Linked DNA regions of Pelodiscus sinensis. The protein of the gene in region 1 interacts with the protein of each later gene in a pairwise test. Links are inferred from orthologs where the notes say so. Each region holds a gene or a part of one and is shown on either strand. Other genes may lie near its edges.

The links. The genes of interacting proteins can lie anywhere in the genome.
Region 2: the proteins of RTN3 (region 1) and CERT1 interact in binary tests that used the Homo sapiens proteins (3 or more experiments, as listed by UniProt). The link is inferred for Pelodiscus sinensis from reciprocal best matches to the Homo sapiens genes RTN3 and CERT1.
Region 3: the proteins of RTN3 (region 1) and PTPN9 interact in binary tests that used the Homo sapiens proteins (3 or more experiments, as listed by UniProt). The two-hybrid records come from large-scale screens. The link is inferred for Pelodiscus sinensis from reciprocal best matches to the Homo sapiens genes RTN3 and PTPN9.

What each region holds. Positions count from the first base shown.
Region 1 is NC_134721.1:33,994,037-34,001,610, reverse strand, and holds the start of RTN3 (reticulon-3), read left to right. Parts: upstream 1-4,555; 5' UTR 4,556-4,557; coding exon 4,558-4,687; intron 4,688-7,574. UniProt on the Homo sapiens protein: May be involved in membrane trafficking in the early secretory pathway. Inhibits BACE1 activity and amyloid precursor protein processing. May induce caspase-8 cascade and apoptosis.
Region 2 is NC_134716.1:84,591,279-84,598,157, forward strand, and holds the start of CERT1 (ceramide transfer protein), read right to left. Parts: upstream 3,023-6,879; 5' UTR 2,469-3,022; coding exon 2,373-2,468; intron 1-2,372. UniProt on the Homo sapiens protein: Shelters ceramides and diacylglycerol lipids inside its START domain and mediates the intracellular trafficking of ceramides and diacylglycerol lipids in a non-vesicular manner.
Region 3 is NC_134724.1:34,422,657-34,429,733, reverse strand, and holds the start of PTPN9 (tyrosine-protein phosphatase non-receptor type 9), read right to left. Parts: upstream 3,023-7,077; 5' UTR 2,202-3,022; coding exon 2,169-2,201; intron 1-2,168. UniProt on the Homo sapiens protein: Protein-tyrosine phosphatase that could participate in the transfer of hydrophobic ligands or in functions of the Golgi apparatus.

The DNA.
Region 1 (7,574 bases):
AATCCCCTTTCTGTCTATGGGACTGCACCTCCCTCGGGACCCCATGCCTCCCTCTGTGCGTGGGGAATGCCTATTCCCCCCCCATAGGGAACTCCAGCTCCACAGACCCCAGGGCCCGCCCGCCTTCTCCACCGGGGACTCCCCCACCACAGGAGATCCTAATACCCCCTTCTCCACCGATGGGCCCAGGCTGCCCGGGAGGGGGGAGGGGACCCCATTACCGGCCGCCTCCAGCTTGACACCGTTCGCTGCTGCCGCCACCGTGCAGGGATCAACATGGAGCCGCCTCCTCCTCGACCCCCCCCGCCCGCGCCGCGGGGCCAGGATGGGATGGGCGGGGCTATCGCCAGGAGGGAGGGAGAAGGCAGAGAGCCGACCGTCCCCGAGAGGCATGCCGGGAAATGTAGTCCCTTTGCCATCCCATCTGGTACGAACCCATTTCAACGAACTATGGCGTCAGAGGACTACAAATTCCAGCAACCATCCGGGCGGGCGCCCTCGCTACACGGGGAGCCTCTCTTTGGGTAGCTCTATTGTCCAGGACTATGTCTCTCGGCAGCCTCCTTGGGAGAGTAACCGCGGACCTGGCTGCTCTGGGCCCCACGCCACCCAAAGCATTCTCAGAGCAGAGCCTGGGATAATGCCCAGGCTTGCGAGAGTAAGAGATAGTGGTTGGCTCCTGGGAGTCCAAGGCAGGAGCCCTGACTGATTACAGAGCACTGGCAGAGCTTTGCATATAGGGCTCTGTATGAATGGTGCATCTTCCACAAAGACAGATGAGCCCTGCCTGGCCCTTCCCTGCAACCTGTGCATTGCCTTTGCTCACAATGCTTCTAGCTGGGCTTTGCGCCTTTCTTCTAGCCAGTGCATTATCTTTGCCTGTACATGTGGCTTCTTCCCATAGCTCCATTCACTGCAGCTCTCTTGCAGCTATTCTAAACAGTTCCTTCAAATGCTGTAGTTAAACTTGCTTCCTGGCTTCTGAGGAAGAGTCCCAAGGTATGAGACTGAGTCCTGGAACTGACAGCAAAAAGGAAGGAACTTTGTGGGCTGGCTGTAGAAGAGGAGTCATGCACAGCAGGTGGGCAGGCCTTTACACATGTATTGTTGTTGTTATTAATGTATTCCAGTAGTACCTACAGGCCCCAACACAAGGTAGACTTGAACCTGGGATGTCTAAAGCTTAATATAGGAGCCTCTACCCTGTGAGCTAAAAGCCAGCTGACTTTTAGCCCATGCTGTAGAGCAGGCATGTCAAACTGGCATTTAGGGGGCTGCATGCAGCCTGATCGAAATTTTTTGCAGCCCCCCCACTACATTTTTATAAAAGAATGAAGTGCAGCCCACTGGCCGCTCAGAGCATGTGGCCAAGTGCCTGCTCACAGTTGGCCGGGACACTACGCTACAGCAACTTCTCACGGCGGGCTGGGCTGCACCACGCATGCACGTATGGCCGGCTGGCAACTCTGCACTGGGCTCTCCAGCATATTCAACATTTAAAAGTACTTAAATTTATATTTAAATTAAAAAATATGTAAAATTAATTTTAAAATTAATGAGCAAATAATTTTATACATCAAATTATTGCAATATTATAAAATAACTAAAACAATCTAGAATAATAAATAATTATGACTGTCAAAAGCCCTATGGTTGCCAGGTGTCCAGTATTTGTGCCTTCTGCCTGGCACCTAAAATGGGTTTGTTTGTTTTTCCTCAACCAATTTTTTTCTTTTTTGGTCAAACAATGTGGCCCTGAAAGCTATCAGTTTTCATTTACATCGAGTTTGACATGCCTGCTGTAGAGGCCTCGGCTACGTCTACACTGGCCCCTTTTTCGAAAGGGGCATGCTAATTTTAAACTTCGGAATAGGGAAATCCGCGGGGGATTTAAATATCCCCCGCGGGATTTAAATAAAGATGTCCGCCGCTTTTTTCCGGCTTGGGGAAAAGCCGGAAAAAAGCGTCTAGACTGGCCCGATCCTCCGGAATAAAGCCCTATTCCGGAGGAGCTCTTATTCCTACTTCGAAGTAGGAATAAGAGCTCCTCCGGAATAGGGCTTTATTCCGGAGGATCGGGCCAGTCTAGACGCTTTTTTCCGGCTTTTCCCCAAGCCGGAAAAAAGCGGCGGACATCTTTATTTAAATCCCGCGGGGGATATTTAAATCCCCAGCGGATTTCCCTATTCCGAAGTTTAAAATTAGCATGTCCCTTTCGAAAAAGGGGCCAGTGTAGACGTAGCCCTCTTGTTCTTATCTGTTGCTGTGGTCTAGGTGCCACTGCATGGAACAGTATACCACACTAGGGCTACGTCTACACTGGCCCCTTTTCCGGAAGGGGCATGTTAATTTCAACTATCGTAGTAGGAGGGAAATCCGCGGGGGATTTAAATATCCCCCGCGGCATTTAAATAAAAATGTCCGCCGCTTTTTTCCGGCTTTTAGAAAAGCCGGAAAAGAGCGTCTACACTGGCCCCGATCCTCCGGAAAAAGCGCCCTTTTCCGGAGGCTCTTATTCCTACTTTTCCGGAGGCTCTTATTCCTACTTTGAAGTAGGAATAAGAGCCTCCGGAAAAGGGCGCTTTTTCCGGAGGATCGGGGCCAATGTAGACGCTCTTTTCCGGCTTTTCTAAAAGCCGGAAAAAAGCGGCGGACATTTTTATTTAAATGCCGCGGGGGATATTTAAATCCCCCGCGGATTTCCCTCCTACTACGATAGTTGAAATTAACATGCCCCTTCCGGAAAAGGGGCCAGTGTAGATGAGCCCTAGGTCTGTGGGTTACACAACTTTTATTAATAACTCATTTTTTACAAAATGCCTAAAAGTTTCATCAGTTTCCAAGCAATTTTACTTGTGGCATCTGTGCTGCTAGCAGGGCTTACTCAGTGTTCAGTCAGTACTCACTTTAGTGTCCCTATGCAACACGATGGGGGTGGGGGAGGGCACTGTGCTGCAAAGTGAGTAACTCAGTAGGGGGCACTCTTCACTCACACGCCAGACTGGCCCCATGCTGCACGAGAGGGGGTTCAATAAGCAATGCTGTTTCTTAAACACAGTGTAGAAAGAAGCTGGTTGAAGAGCCCCCACATTTTATTACACTTTGCTTGGAAAAGAACCCAGGAGTCCTGATTCCCAGTTGTTCCCAACCTGACTAGAAGCCACTCCCTGTTCTGATCCTACCTCTTAGATAATGCTGCAGTATTCCTGTATGTGGAAACAAAGATTCCCTCCAATAGGCACTCAGGAAGAGAAACAGCTCTGATGGGAATACGTTTGAAAGCAAATATACATTAGCAACTGTTTAGTTTCTGCTGATACATCAGAAACGCCATATATTCAAATATCTGAACTACAGTCTCTTCCATTTTGCCCTAAAAGGCACGGACAATCTTGTCCTGTGAGGCATGCAATGATCCAATTGCTTAACCAGAGAACGGAAAGGTAAAATCACTCTGATAAGGAAACAAAAGATGTTATCTTAACTACACCAATAGACAGCAAAGCATAGATAGCTCCAACCAGAGCCACAGCAAATCCCTGGAATGAGTGCAGCTCTGGTGCAGCCATGCAGGGCTGTTGGCACATGTTGGATGCCAGCTTTTGGAGTCATGACTGCATCAAAAGCTCAGTTTCCATTTATAAAACAAAGGAAGTTTCCAGCTTCTGTGGTTGTGGAGAAAAGTTTGAAAGGATAATTCAGCTGTAACTAATGCTGCCTGCATCTGCAGAGAGCCTGAGGCAATAGCTCAAAGCACAGGGAGCTGCTACCATGACCTCGTACATGACCAAGGCAGCCATACCTGCCTGACAGTCACTCAGGGGAGCAACCCTGTACTCCTCAGTGGGGAGTTAAGTCCCAGCCCCATAGGTCTCGGGAAGGGCTGGTTTGAAAGGAAATGGATTTAAATGTCTTTTTGATTTGCGAGAAAAGAGAAAAAACAGCAAAAAGAGAGAATGGGAAAATAAAGAAAAGGAAAGTGACAAAAGGCAAACGGATGAAATAAGAAAGGGGAGGAGAGAAAATACGAGAAAGGCTGAAGGGGAATAAATGAAAGACAAATTCTCCTTTCCCATTAAACTCGAACCAAAGAATCAATTCAGCAGCCGCCCGGTCTCGACTCAGCAGGGCGTCACCCGCCCTAGTCTGGTTTTCTGGAGCCTAAAGCACATATGTTAATCGGATCTATTGCGCATGCGTAAAAGGGGAGCCCACTCCGCCCTTGCCCACATTTGGCGCATGCGTAATAAGCAACCTCAAACCCTAAAACTCAGAAGGCGTAGTGAATACCTGGCGTCCGTTGACGCCTGCGCGTTGCGAGCGCCTCTCTGTTCCAGTGGCTCACGCCTGGTGCTCAACCGTCCAGCCTCTAGCTACAAGCGCTTGCGCGGGGTACGCCTTCTTCTCGGCCCTCCCCCATGGCGCATGCGCAGTTGCTATCCTGCAATCCGTCCTAGCTAGGACAGCCGAGCTCGGTTGCGCGGTGTCAGTCTACTCGGTATCTTCCCGCCGTGAGGGACGGACGTTTAGTGCTAGGCTCCCGTTGCTGTCGCGAAGATGGCCGACCCCGCCACCCAGTCGCCGTATATCTCCTCCTCCGCCGGAGGGGGCTCCTCAGAGCCGGGTACCGCCCCGATGCCCGCGGGCGGCCGCGACTGTAAGGGAACCAGCTCCCAGTCCTGTGCCGGTAAGAGCCGGGGGGAGGGGCAGGGAACAGCCGGGCAGCGGGCTGGGGGCGACGAGTGGGAGGAACAGCCTGTGGAGTATCTGGGAACAGCTGGGGTGGGGGGAGGGGGAACAGCCGTGTGAGTGGTGGGCACAGCCCATGGTGCTTGCGAGGCACAGCCTGGTGACAGCTGGGGGGCGGGGAACGTGGGCACGGGAGTGTGGGGGGGGAGCCTGAGGGTGGGAGAAGGGAACAGCCGGCGGGGGCGGCGAAAGAGGGAAGTAACTGGGGGTGGAGGCTGGGCTAAAGGAGTGGGGGGGGGAGCTGGGAGCAGTTTGGGTTTGGCGCGTGAGTGGGGGCTGAGATTTTGAGTAAGGGGGACTTGGGCTGAAGGTTGGATCGAGGTTGGGGCATGGGAAGCTTTGCTACAGGCTTGCTATCACTGGGGGATAGTTAGGGGCTTTGAAGTGCAAGGGTGGCAGGAATTTGGCTCATGGGGAGAGAACTGTGGTGGGGTATAGACTCGGGCTAGGTAGGGTGGATTTTGTAAAGTAAAAGGTGTGATTTTTAGAGCAGGGTGAGTTTTGGTGGCTGGAAGAAGATTGAGGTGGGGGTCTCAGATTGGGGTGGTGAGGATTGCAGAATGTACTATGTTGCACTTTCTAGTTTCATTTTGACAGTGATGGTTCAAACTAAAAGGGGACTGGGTCAGGGAACAATGTCTGAATTGAAGGGAGGTGATAGAGCAGATTCCCTTTGCCTTAGTGGTGTTCACTCCCAGATCTTGCTGAGCCTCCCAGTCTGGGCTGACTTTTACCGTCTCTGTTTCTTAAGGCCCAAAACTGTAGGAATTATCAAAAATCAGGGGGTGTGCTGAGGAGAGCACAATACCCACTGGATCACCCCTCTGCAAGGGCTGGATGGGTGATGATGCAAGATGTACAGTGTATATATATACACACACCCTCCATTGTTCCAATACTAAACATGGCAGTGAGGAAATACCTTAATTCCTAGAAAAATCCCTTTCACCATCACAAACATTTCTCAGGGCAGGTGGAAGAGCGGTGGGGGACTGCTGGAAGCTTGCAGTGATCTGTGTTTTTGAGGGGGTGGTAGCAATTGCAAATGCTCCCTTTTGTTATGTTGCTGCTCAGTAATTGGAGTGGGGGTGGAGGGAGAGCATATTAAACAAAGCAGTATGTGGCTAAATCCCCCCTTCATTTAAGGGGAGCTGTCCAAAATAAGAGGCTGTGCTTTACTTCTCTTTATATCCCTGTCAGGCTCGGTGTTGGCAAGCTAGCTTCTCTTGCAAAGATCTGCACTGCAGATGCCTTCTTGGAGGGGGGGAAAAACTGGGCAGGTGACAGCTCTTAAAGGGGCAGCGCTTTTTATAACAGCCATAACAATGATAAACACAATTTCATCTTTTTCAACAAGCATCCAGAGCAAAAATGATTTGTTAGCTTTAAAAATTCATGGGTCTTCTGTTTTAACTTGTTTACCAAATTGCCTGTCTCCTGCGTGGGAATGTACCAGGCTGGCATGTTTTTCTCACTAAATAGAATTCATTTGGTTGAGAAGCTGATTTTCCGGGGTGGCTGTAGAAACTGCTCATCCCAGCACATGAGCTGTACAGCAGCTTCCATCTTTCGTCTTAAAGCCCAACACCCTTTTGAAGTGCCATACAAGCCTAATTTCAGAGATGAAATGGCTTTCCTACTTCTTAGCAGGACAGGTCTGTGTGGTTACATGCAAGCGAAGGAAGATGAGGCAGCATGCTTTCACACTTCAGCCTTACAGCATGCGAGTATAATGTATGCCTTTCTGGAACCTTGTGTCATGATGCTTTTCCACCCCCTCCTTGCAGATGTTTTAGTTTGTGCCAGAACTGGGGTGCAAAGGGAGGTTATTACTCAGCAATTTAGTGCTTTGCCTTCATCATTATTGGTTAATCCATCACCCTGTCTGCTCTGAAATGCAGCCCTTTCACCCAGTATTTGAGGACTGTTTATTCTCTGATTCACCACAATTGTTTGTGAATTACCTCAGCTATCCTAGAAATCAAACCTTTGTCCTCAAATTCTCCAGATAAGCTAGTGTTCTATAAATGTTGAGCCATCTTGACAGCTATTGGCACCGTGGTTTAACAGACAGTTTGTAATCAGAAGGCAAAAAGGGTTCAGAGTCATGTTTCTTCTAGAATCAGGTGTGGACTCTGTTCCCCAAGAAGATTAATTTATGCCCAGTGTCTGCCTGAAGCTCAGATTAAACATATGCAAGATGATATACCAAAATGATGTAATATGACTCACATGTAACAGTCATGTTTTCCGCTATTGGGGAAGTGGTGTCGTTTAGTGATTAGAACCTTGGTGTCCAACCAGTTCTGAAGCCATTATAGTGGCTACTGCTGTAGCGAACTAGCCACACTCAACCAGTCAAATAGCCACACGTGGCTAGTGGATAGCGTGTTGGACACTACAAGGTTAGAACATGGAATGAAGGTGGATGGGTGTCAAATCTTCAGTTCAGTTTACCCATCTGTATTCAGGAGAATTAAGCTAATTCAGTGCTTATTAATGTGTTAATAGTAAAAACATGGGTAGCCTGCAAAACACATTTTATCTGACTTTTTTTCTATGTCCCAAAACTAAATGTTTATTACAGCAGTTTGTATATCTTATCACAACTGTAGTATCTGAACTTGGTTTTGTTCTAGATACTGTTTGCACTGCATTTTTTTTATAAATTCCACTGCAAACAACATTTAAAAAAATCTTTGATGTCTTGATTTTTAAATAGCAACACTTCTGGAGATTAAAGCCATCTGTTTGCCCAGTGAACTGCTTATGCATAATGACTTGTGCCTCAGTTTGAGATGCTGCATAGTCATTCAAACTGGAGT
Region 2 (6,879 bases), on another chromosome or scaffold:
TTTTCACTTGGACGCTAACAGTAAAGGCAACAGCTATCATATGAGTATAAGCACTACATACATATCTCTAAAGATTGCACACAGTGCATTTATAAGATGACACATTTGTATGGGAAATTCTTTAGGATTTAACATACGTGATAATTTATCATTAGGACCTAGAATATAATTCTTATTCATTTCATTTGCCAATATTAAAACTGATGGCATACTACTAGAAACAAATACCAGATTTTCTACTTAATGATCTGAATCATCTAATAGGGAGATAACGTTGCAGAAATCTTGGGTAATAAACCCAACATTTCTGAGCCGAATCATGTAAAAACATATTTCCTGTCCCCTCCACAGCATCAAACATGAAATCCTGAAGATCAGTGCCAAGGCCTGCTTCCTCTCCTCAGCACTTCTCTCATCTATGATCTTAGAAATATTTTTTAATTGGAGAGTTCATAAACAGAGTCTCACTCCCTCACAAAAACATAGTAACATAACTTTTTCAGTATCAAGTACTGGGCAAACTTTGAGGCTCTAGGGAAATTGTATGGTGGGCCATAAATGTAAGGCTAGGTCAGGGATGGGGGCTCAGGACAGGAGTTCAGGACAGGGACTGAAATAGAGGGCTAAAGGTGCAGGCTCCAGCCAAGCACCACTTACTTTGGGCAGTTCCTGGTCAGCAGTGCCAAAGCAGGCTCCCACCCTGTCCTGGCCCCATTCTGCTCCTAAGGTAGTTGGCTCCTGGGGGGAGGGGGCGGAAAACGGGTGGCCCCATGAGCTACCCTTGCCTGCTGTCACTGTCTCCACAACAGCTATAAACCATGGTTCCCCATTCCTGGCCAATGGGAGCTGGGGGAATGGTGCCTGCTGATGAGGACAGCATGTAGAACCCCCAAGCCCATGGGGTTGCAGGGATATGCCGAACACTTCTGTGGAGTGACACAGGCCAAGGCAGGAGTAGCCTGCCTTAGTCCCACGGCACTGCCAGACTGATAATCCTGAAAGCCAGATTAAAAGCCCTGAAGGGCTGGATATAGCCCACATGTTTTCCCTACTCATGATCCAGAGCTGCTCATGATCTCCATATCCCATGACCCATCCACTCAGTTCTGCCTTAACCCCTCTGAATATAGAGAGATATGCAAAAATATTTAAATTCTCTTGGCATTAAGTATATATTGAGAAGCTACTTTCTTCTACTGAAATTGTTCAATTAAAACATTTAGTCTTTAAAACATTATTTAAAACTTAATTCCCTAACCCGATATCTCACAATTCATTTTTATCAAATTCACAGCAATAAAAGAGTAAAAATAGATTTAATTCCTACACAGATAAGCATAAGCACCACAATTTTTAAAAGCAATAATCCATACAATTTTTCCTTTTTCACCTCTTTACTCCGTTCTCTTGCTGCAAGGGTATTTTATTACACTGTTTTAATGCCGGGATTAAAGGCCATGCCACTCCTCTTTGACGTATTCCTATTGATTAGAAGTGATTTGTAAGGGCACATCACATGCTGCTATTTCCTGCAAAAAGTCTTCGCAAGAAAAAAAAGTGTTTCCTTCGTGACCCCCAAGAACTCTCTCTCCTCCCTATACAGATTCAGTGCTGGAGTCCAATCCTAGTCATCACAGCTATCCTTCCAAACTAGCTTGTAACGCACACTAGCTAGGATAGGATTGCCAGGTTCCAGACAAAAACCTGATGAATAGAGATGCCCTCACTGCCCCTGCTCACCTTCTACATCAGTCTAGTTACAAGCCTGCGGTCCCAAAATGTACGCTTGCGGAGGGTGAGTCAGGGGATGGGGTGCCAAGTTGGGGGATCAAGAAAGAGGAGACAAGGGAACACTCATTCATGCAGAGTACGCCTACCCATTTAAGAAGGGAAAGGGGACTATGAGAGCACCCCCCATCGGTCTGCAGGATGGATTTTAAGACAGTCTGCACACCCTGTCCGCGGGGCTCCCCGCCTCGCCTAGCTTACGGGAAGGAGAGCACTGACAGCGGCAGGAGAGAGATGGAGAACTGCGGGGGCTGCGCTGGCAGCAGGGAGGGCCGGAGGGGACGCCCTCGCGGGATGTGTGGGCCGTTACAGCCCCGCCCGCGGTCTGGGAGTGGGTGTTTGCCGGGGAATGACTCATTTTCAGGCTTTCTTAGGTCAGGTGGCCGCTGCCCCAGCCAAGCCAGCCCCGTGTCTCCGCGGGGTGGGCGAAGGGGTGCGGGGCTGCCCCTCCACACGGGTAACTGCCAGCGAGACGGGAGCCTAGCCCAATTCTGCAGGGTAGCGCGGGGGTGCGCGCGGCCCCAGCCGCCCGGGGAAAGAGCAGACTCCGAGTCCCCCCGAGGAAAGGGGCTGCTGTTGCTCACCTTGCTGAGGACCCCGCAGAGCTCAACAGGCGGCCCGGACTCGGTTTCGGGATCCTCCTCGGAGCCGGAGGAATTCCAGCTCTGGTTGTCCGACATGGAGGCGCCGCCTGCAGCCACCGTCGAGCAGGGAAACAGCGAGCGGCCCCCGCCCACAGCAGCCTCCTCCTGCCTTGGGGACGGGAGCGACGGCCGGGGGGGCTCTACCTGGGCGACACCTCTCGGCTCCCGGGGTGGCGCTACCCGCGCCTGGCCTCTTTGCAGCTGCCGGGGCCGCAGCTCCGATACTCGACTCCTCGCCTCTGCCCTCAGTGCAGCGCCGCTGCCCCGACCCACAGTAAGAGCCACAGCGCGAGGGGTAGTGTCCACTGCCACTCAAAGCGCCACCGCAGCTACCGCTGCCGCCGCCATCTTACTCTAGGAACTCGCTCTCTGCCACTATTTACCAACTCCCCCCAACCCCACTTGGCAGGGGGAGCGCATTGCTTGCTGGGAATTGTAGTCTGGAGGGAGGGGCAGGAAGCGTGATGGTGTGATGCATCCTGGGAGGCTGGGAATGGGGGGGGGGTGGAACTTGGGAATTGTAGTCTAGTGAGAGGGGGCAGGGCCGCCACCCTTGATTCAAAAGTTAAGAACGGCCATTTTAGGTGGGTTGTATGTGTGTCTCCTAATTACGGCCTCTCACCCCTCCCCCCATCTTTTCCCCAGTGCCCGCCCAAAAGCTTAGCCGCGGTTCCGCTTCGGTGAAGGCAGTAGTGGGGAGGCTGGTCTATGTCTGACCTGTCACCTGCTCTTCCCTCTAGCTCCTCTGTTGCGAGCGGGAACGGTTCCTCCTCCCAGCTTGGGCAAGGAGGCGATCGCCCACCCCCCGCGTGCGGCTGTTCCCCCTGCCCCAGTGTGGCCCTTGGGGAAGACGTTCGGTGTTTTCTCCCGTTACAAACGGCCCCTTTAAACAAGGTGGAGGCGTGGCTGGGGCAATGAGACGACAGGAAGCGGCGGGAGCGGGCAGGGAAGTTGAGAGCCGCGGTGGTGTGTTGCGTTGCGACAGAGCAGGGGTAGCTCGAAGTGATGCGTTTGCCCGTCCGCAGGTAACCCAGGCCGCGCCGAGCCGCAGCGTCCTCCGTCCGTGGGGTCGGCACCGGGGGGCTGGGCTCACTCGCGTCACTGAGGAGCTGCTGGCACTGGGAGGGAAACCATCGGTAGCCAGACCACCCTGCGCCCCAGACCCAAAGCAGGAGATTTCGGGCAGTAGGTGCGAGGCGAAAGGGCATTCACTGCTTTGTTCCTTGCTCTTCTCAAAGGAAGTGTGTTAACCTCTGGCCTGTGAAAGAAATCCTTTCTGCACTGTGTGTGACTGATAGATGTCCTGCAGGCATGTCAGGGCATGTCTGCACTGCACTATGTCTACACTAATACTTTTGTTCTTAAAACTCATCTCAGTTGGATGGGCTGTGTGACCCCCACCCGGGCAAGGCTGATAGATGCTCTCCTGCTGATATAGCTCCCATCCCTTTTTGAGAGTGGTCCAGTTATGCCCACAAAAGCTCTTTCTTATGTGGCTGCATAGGAGATTTTATAGCAGTGCAGCTGCATCAGTACAGATGTGCTGCTGTAAGCTGTCTAGTGTGGACAGGCCAAATGCTGCCCCTCTTCCATCCACACACATAACAATTAGATTCAAATTAGCAAGCATTCATAATCCAAGTCCTAGGATCCTGGGTCAGGGAGGGGGAAGTGTTAGAGTTCAAGTTGTGCTGTGGCTCTGGTTCAAGTCAAATCTTGTCCGAATCTTTGTGACAATCTTATGTTGTAGTACGTATGCAGGACAAGCAGCAGACCTGAGTCAGAAGGCCTGCATAGTGCAGTATGGTTCTGTGACCGCTGGTTGCAGGAATTATAAATAGGGTCCTACCAAACTCACAGCCATGCTTTTACCCGGGAGACCAGTGTTTCTCAAATTGTGGGTCCTGACCTAAAATGATGTTGCAGAGGACTCATAAGGCTATTTTAGGAGGGTCATGTTATTTCCACCTTTACTTCTGCACTGCCTTCGGAGCTGGGTAACTGGAGAGGGGTGGTTTTAATGCTGGTCAGTGGCATTACATAAGAATGGCTGTACTGGGTCAGACCAAAGGTACATCTAGCCCAGAAGTCTGTCTGCTGACAGTGGCCAGCGCCAGGTGCCCCAGAGGGGGTGGACCGAAGACAATGATCAAGCCATTTGTCTCCTGCCATCCATCTTTAGCCTCTGACAAACAGAAGCCAGGGACACCATTTCTATCCCCTGGCTAATAGCCTTTTATGAACCTAACCTCCAGAAAATTATCTAGCTTCTCTTTAAACTCTGTTATAGTCCTAGCCTTCACAGCCTCCTCTGGCAAGGAGTTCCACAGGTTGACTATGCGCTGTGTGAAGAAGAACTTTCTTGTATTAGTTTTAAACCTGCTACCCATTAATTTCATTTGGTGTCCTCTAGTTCTTCTATTATGGAAACTAATAAATAATTTTTCTTTATTCGCCTTCTCCACACCACTCATGATTTTATATACCTCTATCCTATTCCCCCCTCAGTCTCCTCTTTTCTAAACTGAAAAGTCGCTTTAGCCTCTCTTCATATGGGACCCGTTCCAAACCCCTAATCATTTTAATTGCCCTTTTCTGAACCCTTTCCAAGGCCAAAATATCTTTTTTGAAGTGAGGAGACCACATCTGTACACAGTATTCAAGATGTGGGCGTACCATAATTTTATACAGGGGTAGTAAGATATTCTGTGTCTTATTTTCTATCCCTTTCTTAATAATTCCTTACATCCTATTTGCCTTTTTGACCGCCGCTGCACACTGTGTGGAAGTTTTCAGAGAACTATCCACGGTAACTCCAAGATCTCTTTCCTGATTTATCGTAGCCAAATTAGCCCCCATCATACTGTACGTATATTTGGGGGTTTTTTTTCCAACGTGCATTACTTTACACTTATCCACATTAAATTTCATTTGCCATTTTGTTGCTCAATCACTCAGTTTGGTGAGATCTTTTTGAAGTTCTTCACAGTCTGCTTCTGTCTTGACTATCTTAAACAGTTTAGTATCATCAGCAACTTTACCACCTCGCTGATTACCCCTTTTTTCAGATAATTTATGAATAAGTTGAACACGATAGGTCCCAGGACTGACCTATGGGGGATGCCACTAGTTACCCCTCTCCATTCTGAAAATTTACCATTTATTCCTACCCTTTGTTTCCTGTCTTTTAACCAGTTCTCAATCCATGAAAGGACCTTCCCTCTTATCCCATGACAATGTAATTTACACAAGAGCCTTTGGTGAGGGACCTTGTCAAAGGCTTTCTGAAAACCTAAGTATACTATATCTGTTGGATCCCCCTTGTCTGCATGTTTGTTAACTTCTTCAAAGAACTCTAATAGATTAGTAAGACATGATTTCCCTTTACAGAAACCATGTTGACTTTTGTCCAACAACTTATTTTCTTCTACATGCCTGACAATTTTATTCGTTACTATTGTTTCGACTAATTTACCTGGTAATGAAGTTAGACTTACCAGTCTGTAATTGCCAGGATCGCCTCTAAAGCCCTTTTTAAATATTGGTGTCACGTTAGTTATCTTCCAGTAATTAGATACAGAAGCCGATTTAAAGGATTGGTTACAAACCACAGATAATAGTTGTACAGTTTCCCATTTGAGTTCTTTTAAAACCCTTGGATAAATGCCATCCAGTCCCGGTGATTTGTTGTTAAGTTTTTCTATATGTTCCAAAACCTGGTAGGACCTCATTTATAATTCCTGCAACCTTGCTGATTTTAGAGCTGGGTGCCAGAGAGTGACAACTGCTGACTAAGGACCTAGCTCTGCGGGTAGCTGTAAAAGAACAAGGGTGGCAATACCATATAATGTCACTGTTATTTCTGCGCTGCTTCTGGCAGTAGATATGCCTTCAGGGATGGATTTCTGGCCAGCAGCCACTGCTCTTCAGGGGTGTATATACACTGTGCCCTTAACTCGAAATAGCTTATTTCAAAATTCCCCTTAATCCTTGTAGAACGAGGGTTATCAGGACGTCAGAATAAGCCACCCATTATTTCAAAATCTATTTACAAGTAATGGGCTGCTTCACTAGATGCAAAATAGCTATTTTGGGATACTTTTAGTATCCCGAAATAGCTCCGCAGTGTAGACCTAGTCCAGCTGCCCAGTTCTGAAGGCAGTGCTGCTGCCAGCAGCTGCACAGAAGTAAGGATAACAATACTGCAACCCCAATAAAATAACATTGGGACCCCACAAAACTCCTTTTTGTGTCAGGACCCCTACAATTACAATAATGCAAAATTTCAGATTTTGAAATAATGAAATTTATCATTTTTAAAACCTATGACTGAGAAATCGACCAAAGTGAATTATGAATTTGGTAGGACCCTAATTTTGACAATACAATGTGAAATCTCAAAGAACACCAAATCTAGGTCCAACAAAACCATGTTTAATATGTAGTA
Region 3 (7,077 bases), on another chromosome or scaffold:
TCACAAGCACGGTGCCTCAGTTTCCCTAGCTGTAAAATGGTGATCATAATTCACACTTCACAGGGGTGTTTGGAGGATTGATTTATTAAAGACACGTTGAAAATATAAAGCAAAGAATATCTTTCTTAAAAAAAAAAAATCCAGGCCCCCTTTTCTGACTGTTTAAAACCTAGCAGTCACGTTTTACCCTGATCTCACACAGAAGCCAGCTGTTAAGGGTGACTTGATATTGTAATGACCAGTGGTTCTGCAATGAATGCCTATGCAGACCCAGGGACTTGACTTCAGTGGGACTCAGCACAGGAGTCTGCTTGTCCGGAGCTCACCTCGCTTTATTTGCACTGAAACCAGAACCTGGTGGAGCCATGGATGTTTTACAGCTCCAAATCAAGCAGAATCAGCCTGTCTATAACAGACGCTGCAGTTGCCTTCCCCAAAATCAGCAGATACTTTTCTTGGCCAGACCGAGGACTACTCTGGACTGCTCAGAGGACACCAGTCTAAGCCTGGGCAGAAAGGGAGGCGTTGCTGTGAGTCCATGAGGGTAGCAGAGACGAGTGGGGACAAGGACAGGAGAGAAGGGAAGGGGAGAGAGCCAGGCCCTGCAGGAAGCAGCTGCGGGCACAGAAGAGTTAATGCTACAGACTATAAAAGAGTTCTCATCTTTAAAGAGCACAGGGGCATGGGAAAATCAGGGCTGGCTTGAATCAGCAGCCTGAGCCATACACACCAGCTTTCCGCTCCATAACCAGGATGAGGTTAACACTCCCCCAACCCCTGATAAAATTCACAGCAGTCCCTATATTTATAAGTATGCAACATCCTCCTGCAGTGACGCAACCCAGTGACAAGAAGATGTGAACGTCACAGGGAGGAATGGGGCGTGGGAAGCAACAAATCTTAAAATCCAGCCTTGGCGAGAGCGAAATGAAGAGGGCAAAACAGGAAAAGAGGGTGGCTGCAGTTTAAAATGGGGGAGGGGATAATCCCGGTTATCTCCTCCTACTTCCACTGCACATTTTGTGGGGGGATAGCAGGGCACATGTCAGGAGTGTCCAGTAAGGTGCACAGCACTCACGGCAAGGTGGACAGCCCCATTTCCTGGATGGGGAAACTGAGGCCCAAAGGCAAAGCCACTCCCTCCCAAGGTCACACACGGAAGCAGGTCCAGGAAGAGATACCAGCGGTCCCCTGAGCACAAGCTGCTCTCCGAGATCTCTCGGGAGCTGATGGGGACAGGAGGCAGAGCCTGCTGATGAGCAGCAGGCCCAGGAGCAGCTAGGGTCACGCAGACTGGGGGGCGGGGGGGACTGTTTTCGCCCGCCCGCCTCGCTCCCTAGATCATTTCGGGAAGGAACACGGGGGACTTCACTGCACAATCTTCAGTGTCACGTCACCGCCCCACTCGGAAAAATAAAAAGGGCCGCGATGACTGGGGGGGGGGGGCAAAGGGGCGCAGATGTGAGACCTCAGGAACACCCCAGGCCTGCCCCCCCGCCGGGCTCGAGACTGAGGCCCCCACATGTGGTTGGGGGTTGAAACCTCCTATGGCAGCTCCTGCCGGGGAGGAAGGGGGGCTAGCCCCCCATGTCCCTTGCACGCTCCGTGCTCCGCGGGGCGTCCCGCCTGTTTCTGCCTCAGGCCCCGGGGCGGCGGCTGACACCGGAACAAGGGAGGTGATTCCCCCCAGCTGTTCGTTCGGGGCGGGGCTGCGCCCCCTGCGGGGAGCCCGATGGGGCGGGCGCGCGGGGGGGGTCCCTATGGGGCCCAGCCGGAGACTAGGCCGCAGCGCCCCCAGCCCATCTCCTGCCCGCTCCGCATCGAGGTGACCCCCCATTTCTCCGGGATAATGGCCCAGCGCCGCGGCGGCCCCCCCGGAAAGGAGAAGAGGCCAGGCTCTAGGGGGTCCCCCAATGGCCCTTCCCAATCGGAGGGGCCGGGAGCGCCCCCAGTTCAAGGCGGGGGGCAGAATAAGGGGGAAGATCACGAAAATGGGGGGCAGGGGGCCCCGATCCAGCCCTTCCTCCCAAAGCCCCCTCTGCACTGAGCCCCCGGAGGAAGCACCGGGGGTGGGTGGCAGTGTGAGGCGCCCCCCTTCCTGCCTGGGCCCCAGTTCAGACCGGCCAGCCCCTCGGTGGGGCGCCCGGGGGAGGGGGGCCCGGCGTTACCTGCTCCTCCTCCGGGCTCAGCTCTGCGGCCATCCTGCTGCCGCAGCTCCTCCCGCCTGCACACTGCTCCGGAGGCGGCTGCTTCGCTTCTGCGGAGTTTTTAAACCGGGGCTTCCAACCATCGACCAGCCTGAGTCAGCCCCGCAAGCCGGCCCCTGCCCCGCTCCTCCTGCCCACACCCCGCCGGGGCAGCGGCCTCCCGCGCCGCCCGGGGCCCCGCACACGCCCCGCTCAACTGGGGACGCGGCTTCCGAGCGCCCGGCGAGCGCCCATTAGCCGCCCTCGCAGCCGAGCGACACGCTTGGAGGGGGCAAGGCGGCCGAGCGATCCCTGCCCCCGCAGGCCGGGTGTGACTTGGAAGTTCAGTTTTGTCCCCTCTGAACCGGCCCCGATTCTTCTGGCTCCTTCGCAAACTCCGGGCTCCCTCCGGTCCCCCTCGCGGCTTTCTGCAGGCTACAGAAAATCGCACGCCCAAGAAGGGGGGGAAACACCCCGCTGTCCTGGAAGTTTCATCCCCCCCAGATCGGCTCGCAATCTCTCCCGGCTATGGCTTCAGCCGCCTCCGTTTTTCTTCTCTGCCTTTGCAAGATCCCCCTGCCCTTGCTTCCTGCACAGAGTTCGCCTGAGACCATCAAATCCCTGGCTTCAGCTGTATTTTCCTTTTAGAGAATGAAACTCCTTCCTGCAGCCTCCATCTCTCGCCTGTCTGCCTCGCAGCCCTTATTCCTCAAAAGCAGCGGAGAGGAAGGAAGGAAAGACACCCCGCCCCCCCTCCTCTCATGGCCAATGCTGCTTCCCCTGCTGAGCCAGCCAGAGCCCCCAGCAACTCCATTCAGAAACTGAATCTCATTCACAACAGCAGAGGACAGCCAGGGAGAGGGCTCTCACCCAGGGAGGGAGAGAGTTCTGCATAAGCCGAGGGGGGGGGGGGGGGGGGGAGGCTGAAAGAGGCATTCGTCCAAAGGAAGGAGAGAGAAACAGGAAACTATCCAGGGCAAGGGAGACAGAGGCAGGGCAGCAAACAAGGGAAAGAAAGAGGAATCTAGACAAGGGAGGGACAGCCACATCCAACAGAAAATATTGAGTCATCCCGGTTTAAGAGAATATTAGAGTCATCCTGCTGTTCTGTACCTGCAAACAGGCCCTTAGATCCCGAATTCCCGTAATTCAGTGGAGGCGTGAATCCTTTCCACACCTCCAAGTCTACCCAGAACATTATGGCTAGATAAAAACCTAGCATGGTTGCCCCCCACCTTTGTTCTTGTATGTGTTGTCACGTGCCTGGCGCACTGTGGGCACAGCTGTTTGCAAGAGCTAGCCCATGCATTCTAAGGCCACGAACACAGTCAGGGCCCTTGCAGGTCAATGGCAGCAAGATCTTCCTGAGGGGATCCAGTGGCAGGACTGGGACCCTGATAACAAGCAAAGATGGGCAGGAGGGGACTGTAACAGGATGCTTCAGTGATGAGCGCACGATAAGAATTTATAGTGAAGAGAACAAAAGACAAGTGTGCCTGGGGGGTACATTTGGCACCTCTTACCATTACAGACGCTTTCTTCAAGTAACCCCGGGGAGCAGAGGCGACTGGCGTAGGGCTGACAGGTCTCCTTGCCCTTCTCTGCCCAAGTCTTTTTTAATAAAGATATTCCCACTCTTGTTACTCCTGTGCAACTCTGTCTCAGCATTAGCCACTGCCGACAGACAGGATACTGGGCTACAAGGACCTTTGGTCTGACCCTGTATGGCCGTTCTTATGCGGGTTAAACAACAGTCCAGTAGCCACTGGTATTTTAAGTACCTTTTTGACTAAGCCAGAGCAAGTCTATGTGACAGGGTGGTTAAAATGGTAGCAGCTGCTGGAACCTTATCTACACTAGAGCACCCACCTTTCCTGCCACCCCAGGAGCTGAACAGATGTGTAAAAGTGCCTTTTGAGGAGGAGAGAATGGAAGGTCATGTCGTGAGAAACTAAAGAACTGCTGATCAGGAAAAATTCATGCAGGGCCCAAAGAGCTGGCTCATTTGATCTCAACTTCAGATCCCTGCTTTGTGGCTGTTTCCTGTAATCCGATCTAGATTTAACTAAAGTTTTAAAAGTAAAACTCCCTTTCTGTTTTCCTCATGTCCAAATTCTCCTCCAAAACGTACTGTCTTCTTTTTTCGAATGCCTTGCTGTGCACTCCAATACATTCCCATAGAGATAGGATTAGGGCAGATGACAGCAGTTCAAGATTTGACATGGCCCAGAGTCTGAGATCTGTGTCACATCCCTGCGAGATCACCCCGCCCCAGAGAGCTTCCACTATATTCAACTGCTATCAACTCCCACTCTGGTGTCTGGTCATTATGGAGACAATACTAATAGATAAACTATCTTATCCTTAAAAAGTATTGTGCTTATAAGAGCTTAGCTTTAGTTCTTTCCCATTGTTTACATTTATCTCTTCCCCTTTTCTATCACCCATGGTCCATTATCTTTACTTACTTTGTAAACTCTTTGGAGGCAGGGACCATCTTTTTGTTCTGTTTGTACAGCACCTAGCACAATGGAGTCTAATCCATGACTAAGGCTCCTGTGAGCTCTGACTGTACCAGTAAATAACACCTGCCTTGGGTGTTCAACTTCACAGAGCAGGGGCCTTGTCTTCTAAGTGTACAGTGCCTTGCCTACCGGTAGCCCTTAATTCATACTGTATACTACACTGATCTCTCCGGCACTAGAGATGCACCTGGCCAATTCCCTGACAGACCAGGATCCATAAAAGCTGTGGTCAGAGTTCAAACCATCCCCCTCACTGGAGCATGTTCTGATGGGAAGTGGTCACTGTTGTTATATATGAAATAAAAAGAAAAATTTACCTATTTGATTTCTATTTGATGGAGAGAAGCAAAGATCCACCTGGCTGGTTCACTTACACTGTGCTGCCGCACGGCTATGCACAAACAATATTCATCTCTAGAACGAGAGCGAGATGATGGATTCCCTTGGAGCGGAACCAGATCAGTAGTGAACTAGCTCAGCAACTGCAATTTTTTCCGTACCATTTCACCACGTCAGCCAGACAAGTTTCAGGTGCCATTTCCAGGGAAAGGATGGGTGCTCACCACCACTCCCCCGTATCCATGAACTAGTTCTACTTCCACCTCTACCAGTGGCATTTCAAAGTCTGGGTGGGCGGTTCCACTGACACAGCTGAACAGCAGCTGCTGCTAGTGGGGAGTGGAGCAACCTGGTGCTCCAGGGTTTTTAAAAAATGCTCCCAGGGCTTTGATCCAGAGCTCTTCAGGCCACAGGTGCTGCACACTGCCTCTGGGAGCATGTTTGGTTACTGCAGCAGGGCCTGCTGGTTCAGAAAGCTGGATCCCAACCAGTCTCAGTGGCGGGGGGAGGAGGGGAACATTTTGTTCTGCTGACAAGGGCTGCCCTGGCAACTTGCCTGCAACTGGAGAGTTTGTATTTAACTTGCAAGAAAATGGAGCAGAGTGCAGCTATCTCTATCTTTTCCATGGAGGCTGAAAATCCAGCTGGCTTATGGGGCTTTGAGGTGGGCTGTGAGCATAGGCCATATCTCCACACTAAAGGTGACCACACCTCTAGAAACCACCGGCCACGTTTGAGCTACTTTGTTCTATTGGGGGTTAGCAGTGAGTCCTTACAAGCTATCCCTATGCCCCCACCTATATGCTTGTACTGCCTCAGCAGGCTCCTGGCAGAGATTTACATGTCACTTGTGCATACAAGGAGCTGCAGGAGGGTGGTGTGCGCCCCAGGATCAGCATCGCCCCTAAAACTCTGAGCTATGGAACCAGAATGCTTTGCAGCCAGCCACTTTTGCTTAACAATTTCTCTCCCACCCCTTTCATTTTCTGCTCAGATTTATTCCTGGAGTCTGCTAATATTTTAAAGCAGAATCATGCAGCTGTATCTGCAAGAGATCCTTTACAATATAGAATGAAAGCTTCAGTTTCCCCCTGCTAGTAGAGGAAAAAGCCCCTTTCTTCCTACTGTATTTGACTCCCCTCTTTGCTGGACAGCCTTGGAAAGCTCTGTGAAGGAAGTATACAGACAGAAACCAGAGCGGCAGCTTTCCCTGAAGCAAGAGGCCAAGGATGCTTAGGCTTAGATTTGGATTCCTGGAGGATTAATTAAATTAGTGCTTTATTGCATCTGAAAAGTGCCCTGATTAGGGGCCCAGGCTTCCAAGGGGAATCCTGCATCAATTTCCTCCAAGCAGTTTAATTTTGACTTCAAAATCTGAGATTTGCAGAGCGCTACAGCAATATTTGTCATTTTACAAGATGAACCTGTCACTGGTTTAGGTCTTACAACACTTACTCCCTAACATACCATCTCCATCCCTCACTGAGCATAACTGTCAATATAACATAATAAAGAGTTCAAACCTGTGGGGAAGTGGGATATGGGGAAGAAACACGGAGGAAGGAGCAACAAAGGAGGACCCCTGATTCAAATGGAGAAGGTAGGGCAATCAACTGGTTATCTAAGGTGTATCTAAGGGTATCTACATGAATAGGAAACAGACAGAAAGAATTAGAAGCCCTGGCCCAGTCAAAGAACTGTGATTTGACTGGAATAATGGAGACTTGGTGGGATGACTCACATGACTGGAGCACCGCCATGGAAGGGTATAAACTGTTCAGGAAGAACAGGCGGGGGAGAAAAGGAGGAGGGGTTGCACTGTATGTAAGAGAGCAGTATGATTGCTCAGAGCTCCAGTAGATAGAGGAAGAAAAGCCTGAGAGTCTATGGGTTAAGTTTAGAGACAGAAGCAACAGGGGTGATGTTGTGGTAGGTGTCTGCTATATTCCACCGGATCAGGTGGATGAGGTAGACAAGGCTTTCTTCAGACAACTGAGAGAAGCTTCCAGATCACAGGCCCTGGTTCT